Nothobranchius furzeri: one gene and its partner. The protein of the gene in region 2 interacts with the protein of the main gene of each other region in a biochemical or structural test. Links are inferred from orthologs where the notes say so. Each region holds a gene or a part of one and is shown on either strand. Other genes may lie near its edges. The genes, in order: pqbp1 and wbp11.

What was found.
Region 1: the proteins of wbp11 (region 2) and pqbp1 form a complex in vitro, tested with the Homo sapiens proteins (2 studies listed by BioGRID and IntAct, with this or other methods). The link is inferred for Nothobranchius furzeri from reciprocal best matches to the Homo sapiens genes WBP11 and PQBP1.

The regions. Positions count from the first base shown.
Region 1 is NC_091755.1:41,961,478-41,965,840, reverse strand, and holds pqbp1 (polyglutamine-binding protein 1), read right to left. Parts: upstream 3,029-4,363; 5' UTR 2,918-3,028; intron 2,361-2,917; coding exon of another isoform or gene 2,356-2,360; exon of another isoform or gene 2,308-2,355; 5' UTR 2,307-2,307; coding exon 2,240-2,306; exon of another isoform or gene 2,237-2,239; intron 2,147-2,236; coding exon 2,035-2,146; intron 1,849-2,034; coding exon 1,748-1,848; intron 1,650-1,747; coding exon 1,449-1,649; intron 1,366-1,448; coding exon 1,308-1,365; intron 362-1,307; coding exon 211-361; 3' UTR 73-210; downstream 1-72. Other genes in the region: timm17b (mitochondrial import inner membrane translocase subunit Tim17-B), read left to right, coding at 3,029-3,054, 4,044-4,143, 4,214-4,277. UniProt on the Homo sapiens protein: Intrinsically disordered protein that acts as a scaffold, and which is involved in different processes, such as pre-mRNA splicing, transcription regulation, innate immunity and neuron development.
Region 2 is NC_091752.1:67,492,786-67,496,210, forward strand, and holds part of wbp11 (WW domain-binding protein 11), read right to left. Parts: intron 3,385-3,425; coding exon 3,221-3,384; intron 1,757-3,220; coding exon 1,523-1,756; intron 1,430-1,522; coding exon 1,310-1,429; intron 1,236-1,309; coding exon 948-1,235; intron 879-947; coding exon 693-878; intron 1-692. UniProt on the Homo sapiens protein: Activates pre-mRNA splicing. May inhibit PP1 phosphatase activity.

The DNA of each region.
Region 1 (4,363 bases), on a different chromosome or scaffold from region 2:
TTCTTACAGTTACGACGAGCCCCAGCAGATGCTTTTCTCACCAGAGTAAGAACTGATTATGTTAACTGGTGGTTCTAGTAACAACATGAAATCCATTTTATTATAAAACATATTTACAACAAGTTTGATCTCTAAAATGTCAGCATGCGACATCACGTCTAACAACAAGAGGTGTGCGCAGGACGCAGAGCGTCTCCGTGGGAGCGCTTCTCATTCCTTGGGCGGTTGGTTGGCAGCGTTGGCCCGCAGCACCGCGCCTGGACTCGGGTACGGCCGCTGCTGGAACAGCGGGCCGGCGGCTGTGGTGTCTGCACCGGTTTTGGCCTCGTTGCGTTTGGGAAGACCACTCGACCAAGAGCCCCTGTGGAAAACAGTTCAGCAGACCTTTAGAGTGGGCCAGCTTGTTTGCTAACGCCTGGTTGTTTAGCTAGCGCTAGAGCCGTTTCAGCTGGTTAACTTGACCGTTTCGTGTATTCAGCAGACGCGTTTGTCCAGAGTGACTCACAAATGAGCGTTTTTACACACAACACAAATGTGTTGGGCTGTTCTGCAAAAAAAACCTAAAGTTCTGACTTCAGTCGACAGGACAAACCACAGAACCCGATCCCTTTAGTACCCGTTTCAGCCAGAAGCCTTCCAGGAATCCACTTGTTGAAAACTACAAATTTTATTCCTGCAAGTGTGCATTAGTGGCATTTCCATAGATGCGGCTAAAGACGCCATCACTATAAAGCCAGGCGTTGAGTTTTGAATAAATAATATGTAAAGAAAGTTGTAATAATGGGTCAAGGTGACAGGTGCAGCTTTTCCAAAACACGGGATTTAGCTGAATTTAAAGCCTAGACTGCAGAAAGCTTGGCCGAAAGAAAAATGATACTAATGAAAGTAGAACGACTACTTTAGAAGACCCCGAGGCTAAAACTGTATAAATCACATGTTTGATTCAAGTAGCTTTAAAGACGTAAATAAAAACATGATCATGCACCAGAGTTCAGTTCCGGCGGGTCCAGCCCAGAGGGTGAAACCGGAGGAGAGGGACTGCAGCGTGTGACTCAGAAAACTGCAGCCACCTCGCTCCCATGAGGTTTCAGAGCCACGTGACTTGGCGCCTGCTTTGCAGTGCCAGCAGCAGTCGTCCAAAGTTTCTACCCAGCATGCATCATGTTACACCGCTGCTGCAGTGCTGTGCATTCAATTAAAGACTTAAATGTCTGCTTTGTTCTTTAACTTACAAAGCTGAAGCTGACATGTAACTGAGTGGAATGACGACAGGGGTAATTTCCTGCCTGCTGCTTGTTTTACTTTACCTGGGAGCATCAGAATAAGCGCTGGGGTCCATGGGGTCCATCTCGTCATCCTTTCTTCCTGCAAACACGATCAGATTTTAACTGTTATTGTATCACAGATAAAGCTTTAACGTGAAAACGAAAGACTTCTGTAAGCATCACCTCTTTTGTTCTTGTTGTATGGTGCCATGTCGTCCCTCCTTTGCTTTCTTCTGTCTCTGTCCCGCCCATCATCTCTGTCCCTGTCTCTGTCCCGATCTCTTTCTCTTTCCCGGTCCCTATCCCTGTCTCTGTCCCTTTCCCGTTCTCTCTCTCTGTCTGGCTTCTCAAACGGTCGCTCTCCTCTTTCATCTCCCAAATCAGCTAAAAACAAATAATAATGCAATTTCTGTGAAAAACATTCCTCGTTTCTTTTTTAAAGACACTTATGCAAAACTGGCGAGTTTAGTTTTTAAACCCACCTTTCATTTTCTTGGCAGCTTTTGTTATCACAGACGAGGGGTCATTTGGGGACAGCCAGGCGACTAGATCCGTCTCAACATTCCAGTAGTAAGGAAGACCACTGAGGGTGGCAGGAAATCAGGAAGAGAAGGCTAATCAGCTTACATACTAAACATGTAAAAGAGACCCAATGACATCGCTTTGTGAATTCACTGGAAAGCTTCATCTGGACTGCAAACACCCAAACACAAGCGCACTGGAGGTAAAACTACCAAAGAACCGTAGATAACCAGTACAGTGTACGTACCAAGCTGGATCAAACACTTTGTACCAGTTTGGAGGAAGATTCTCTGCTCTGGTGGCTTCATAATCTACATTATTGTCATCATAATCTTCGGCAATAATCTCCTCATCTGCACCTGTTATTAAAGGAGAAAATACTGTTACACGACATACGTGTAAAGTCACAGAGAAGGATGCATGGAGCCAGCGTGTTCAAGCCAAATGAGAACCTCGTTCTGTTGGTTTAACGATCCCCCTCTTGGCCAAGCGGGCCAGCAGAGCTGGAGGAAGAGGCATCCTGAAAAACACGAGATGCTGTCACAACAGTCACCTCGAACATCTGTACATGAGGTCAGTGGTTTCATAAATCCACAGCAAAGATACAGAAAATTTACTTGTTTCTCATGTGTTCTGATATTTAAAGTATACAGCCTCAATTATACACAACGGGGTTTATCCCAATAAACAAAACGTCTCTTTACTGCCAAATTACGTACAAAAACGAGTTAATTTATAACAAATAAACATCTGAACAGAAACCTTTCAGATAAAACATTGTAATGAAATATGGAGAACATAAAGCTCCCAACAGCACACGCAGTAAAAGGCGTCGGGCTTTCAATACAATTTGAATAAATGCTGTTCTTACGTTTTCAGTTGAAGTTATGTTCAACATTTGAGTTGTGTTATTTTTAAAGACTTTAACTACAGATGTAGAAACAGTCTGACATTCGTAAAATCTGCATTTATTTGCACGAACAACAAACGTTTACCCGAAGGCTAACCCTGTTAGCAACCGCTGGATGATTAAATCAACAAGCAGACTGCGTAAGTACTTCCATGCCCGGAAGGAACGAAAATCTGAACGTTTACGCTTCAAAACGGGATCCGAACAGGAACAAGTTTACCTGAGATAAAGAAATTCACCCAATAGCAGAGAAAATGATGTTAGCACCGCCAACGCACTAGTAGCGCCGGTCGCACGTGTATGACGTCACAACGTCTAGACGAAAACAAACATGGAGGAATATGTCCGCGAACCTTGGTAAGATTAGTTTGTCTTTAACTGTAAACTAAATACGGCTAACATACATACCAGTGTTGGTTTTTCTAGTGAAACATAAACATGTGAGAGAACAGAGACGCGTTGTGAGTTCTGCTGTCAATCCACGTATATATACGTGCTTACGTTCAATGCAATTCAAAAATACTTTATTAATCCCAGAGGAAATTGATTGCTGTAGTAGCTCAGAATAATAATAATAAACAAGTCATCAAAGAGTTGTTGTATATTACAATGGCTGTTGGCAGGAAGGATCTCCAGTAGCGGTCAGTGTTGCAGCCAAACTGAAGAAGCCTCTGACTGAAGACACTCTTCCGTTGTCGGACAGTCTTGTGAAGAGAACGCTCAGGGTTGTCCATAATTTTCTTGATTCTCTGGAGAATCCTCCTTTGCATTTTCTCCTCCAGCGGTTCCGAAACTGCCGAAACTCTGGCTGAGTCCTTGAAAGGGCTTGGAGTTCCTCCATCTTGTTGGCCAGTGATCTCACATTGCCCGTTATGATCGATGGAAGAGACGGTTTGAATTTCCTCTTTCTCTGTCTCCGTTTTGCTCCCGCTCTGCACCCACGCTTCTTGCGTTTTAGCTCATTTGGGATTTGTGGCTTCAGTTGAGGTATTATTTCAGCCTTTCCAATGTTAATCAGCTGCTCCCGATTGTAAACCAGCTTGTTGCCATGGTTACGCATCATAACAAATGCTCAAAAAGTGTAAAAAGCTAAAAAATAGCAGTAAAAATCCTCCAAGCTTCACAGCACCAGAAACAGAAAAGTAGTGTCCAAAAAAATACCGTTTCTCTTGAGAAACTAGAAGAAAAAATGCCCAAGAAAAGGCAAAACTTACATATAGTCAACAGAGCTACTCCAACATGCAGCCACCCAGAGCAGCGCAGTTCCGTTGACGTCTGTATCCTGATCTGACTGTATATCTTGTATTTTGACGGTGTCTTGTGTGTCCTCCCCTAACCTCCTGCAGCCCCTGGAGGATTGTGGACGACTGTGGAGGAGCTTTCTCCATGGGTGTCATCGGTGGAGGGGTGTTCCAGGCCATCAAGGGCTTCCGAAATGCCCCTGCTGTGAGTTTAAAACAGACTAGTTTGACTTGACTTCTTGGAAGCCTTTATAAACCTGTCTGTAACATTTCAGGGTGTTGGACACAGACTAAGAGGAAGTGCAAAGGCAGTGAGAGTGAGGGCCCCACAGATTGGAGGTTTGACCCGTTGCTGCTCTGCTCCTCACACACCACTGAAGGATTTTGGTCCCTTTCTCTAAACTGAGCTTCAGCACTGACGTGCT
Region 2 (3,425 bases):
TCGTCTCCAGTCTGGGAGGTCGAGCCGAGCTCTGCGTTGAGCTTTGTGTCGTATACCGGGGTCACCAAAGCGACCAACGCCTCGCGACCAGCCCCCGACTGGCAATCACGCGGTGGCAGGAAAATCAAACGTGTGAAATTCTGCTGGTGAGGGACACTGTTGAGCAGCACCACGGCTGCCCAGCCACTTCCGTGTCTACACACACACACACACACACACACACACACACACACACACACACACACACACACACACACACACACACACACACACAGTGTCTCTAAGCATTTTTGCCTGGATCCCCAAACCTCGGGTTACTTCCTGAATGTCATTCCTTCCTCTACCTCCAACCCCATGAACCCCAGCGCGTCCTCCTCTAACTACGGCAAGCCTGAGGGACAACAGACGCCGGTAGCAGCACGACGTTCACCTCGCTCCCGGGTTTACGGGTCCGAAGGTCTGTCGTGTCGCTACAGAGTGCGTGGTGAGCAGTTTTCAAGCATGGGCTCGTGAGCTTTACCCTGAAACAGAGTCGTCTGGTTGGAAACGGAGCTGAATGCAACACCTGGAAAAGTCACAGAGGACAACCCGGCAACGAGAAGACCTGTCCTGATGGAACCGCTGACCACTGAGGTGTGTGCAGTCACATCCATTAAACTACGCAGTACCTCCTTGTAGCTTTATACACCTACCTGGTGGTGCCGGGGGTGGTAGTCTGGGTGGGGGTCCGCGGGGTGGAGGACCTGGTGGAAGACCGGGAGGAGGGCCTGGCGGAGGACCAGGGGGTCGACCTGGTGGAGGACCAGGGGGCAGAAGACGAGGCATCGGGCCCCTAATTCCTCCGGGCATACCAGGTGGCCTCAAAAACGGAGGAGCGCCTAAACAGAAGAGAAAATAAGAAACGCGTCCCGCCACCAAAACAGTCATCTCTTCTGAATGAAGCTAACCTGGTGGGGGGCCAGGAGGTGGGCCGGACGGGGGACCGGGAGGTCTCATTGGAGGAGCTGGTGGTGGGCCCAGTGGAGGAGGACCAGTCATCGGTGGGCCTTGTAAAGGTGGAGGGGGTCCCTGCTGACCCACGGCCCCAACAGGAGGGGGGAGGCGCTGACTGGCCACGACTTGGGACTGGCCGTCTGCCGGTGGAGCCCGGTCCTCGGTGTCAGACGCGTCCGACTCATCTGTGAACTCCTCCTCTCCCTCCTCCTCCTCTTCTTCCTCGTCGGGAACCGACTGACCTGAGGACGACAGACTTGTCATGCACCCTAGTTCTGAACAGGACGTGAGGCGGAACGTGATCACATGACCGTACCTGCCATCCTCAACATCATGGCCTGCAGAGGCGTAATGGCCTTGGTCTTCTTCGCCCCTCTCTTCTTCTTCCCATCATGGGAATCATCTCCTGGCAGATCTGCGAAGCGTACGCTGCGTCCTGCAGCAAGTCAGAGACCCGAACGACACGTTCACGAGGGACCCGAAGCCATTAGGATTACACTCAGGAGCTCAAACACACTGCAGCACTGACCGGCATGTCTTTCACTTCTGTCTCTGTCCTCCTCCCGTTCCCCGCCATCAGCCCGCCGCTCCGCACGCCCTCGCTGCTCGCCGTCTCCCTCCTCGTCCCTGTCCTCTTCGCTGTCTTCATCAGAGTCACTGTTGTCATCCAGATCGTCCCGATCTCTGTCGCTCTCGCTGCCGCTGTACTGATCCCGGCCCAAGTCCAGGGCAGATTCCTTCTCCAAGCCAGGAATGGAGAGATCTGATGACGGATTAAACAAAAGCACAAAAATACTCCTCGCTTTCAGATTTTTCATCAAGTCATGAAAATTAGGGTTTAATCCCAATTTAATCTGAGATATCTAGTAACAGCTCTACAATAAACAGGCTTATTGAGCAGAATAGGGCTGAACTATCGTTTTTGGACCAAAATCGCGATTTCAAACAGCACGATCACGTGAACGTCAAAGCTGTGGTTTTAGCGGTTTCGACTGATCCAGGATCAGTTGTGTAACTTTTTTTTACATCCGGGGGTTTCCCCCTGTGTTATGGCGTGGCGGCGGCAAAAGCCAGCGAGGGGGAGGGGGGTGGGGTGTACCGCCCAGAGCCGAGCCCAGCTCCACAGCTGCCAGAGCTGCATGTTCAGGTTATTTTCCCTGTTTCATGTTCCCACACACAGCGCTGCTAGAGCCGATAATAATGCACCGTGGGTGGGCCCGGGACAGAGAGAGAGAGAGAGAGAGAACATAGTTGAGTAAGGGAGAGAGAAACTCCTCCCACATCAGCAGGTTCAGGCAGATTTCTAAAGCTTGGTTTATGCTTCATCAGCACGAGCGCAGAGTCGCGCACTTTAGTTGACTTGAAAGCTGAACTTCTCTTTTAAAAATGGTTTGAATGTTTCTGACGGCACACGTTAGCTCAGACAAGCAAGGTTCGTTTATGCTTGACGCGTCCGCGAGGTCCGCACGGCTCCGCGCGAAAAAGTTGCGTCATTTTAAAAACCACGCCCCTCCACCGCGCCTCCGCACGGCCCAAAATTTCCTCAACGCGCACCTAGGACATTTTCTAACCACGCGGACGGTCGGACACGGAAAAACATGGCGGACCGGCAAGAACTAGTACGGCAGAGGTTCGTAAATACAGACATTTGTATGATTCAGCTCTCAGAGATCACCGTGATCAACATGTTGTTAATAATTCTTGGAGAGAAATAGCTCGCACTGTCGGAAAAGACGAGGACGCTGTTAAAAAATGCTCTACGGCATGCATCCAACACTACACCATAGTAGAAGTAGAAATTACCGTTGTTGACAACATAGCATTCCAGCAATTTTTTGCTGTAATGCCATGCTTTTTTATATTTTTACATTTTTTGTTTTTGTGAAGCGCCTCGTGATTTTTATCTTGAGAGGCGCTATAGAAATGATATTTTCTTCTTCTTCTGATATTTACTAGTCACTTAGCCGATTCGTGACCTGGAGGAAGCCGTTTATTCTACCATGGATAACCAAGTCTGCAGCTTTCTTTAAATGTCCGTTCCCAAAATATTTCCTCAATAAAAATCTAAAAAACATTACGTCCTCTTTCTGGCAGCCGTGGCTCGAACCCTAGTATAAAACAGCCGACCTGCTTGTATCACTGGTCAAAATGACAGGGAGGGGAGTGGGAAGCGTCGCCCTGATCTCCGCACCAACCTAACCCATGCTAGCATCTGTCAGCGGGCTACCTGCGTCAGAGCCGTAAGATCGTCGAGAAGGAATGCCATACAGCGCCAGGACCTGTGGAGGTGGGGGCCCAGGTGGGGGTCCTGGAGGCTTCTTCCCTGGAGGTAAGCGTGGGACACCTGGCACTGCTCCTAACCCCAGCCCAGAGGATGATATAGGTCCTTTCCTAAAACATTGATGTGTAAAAATCACCTGTGGGAAACGACA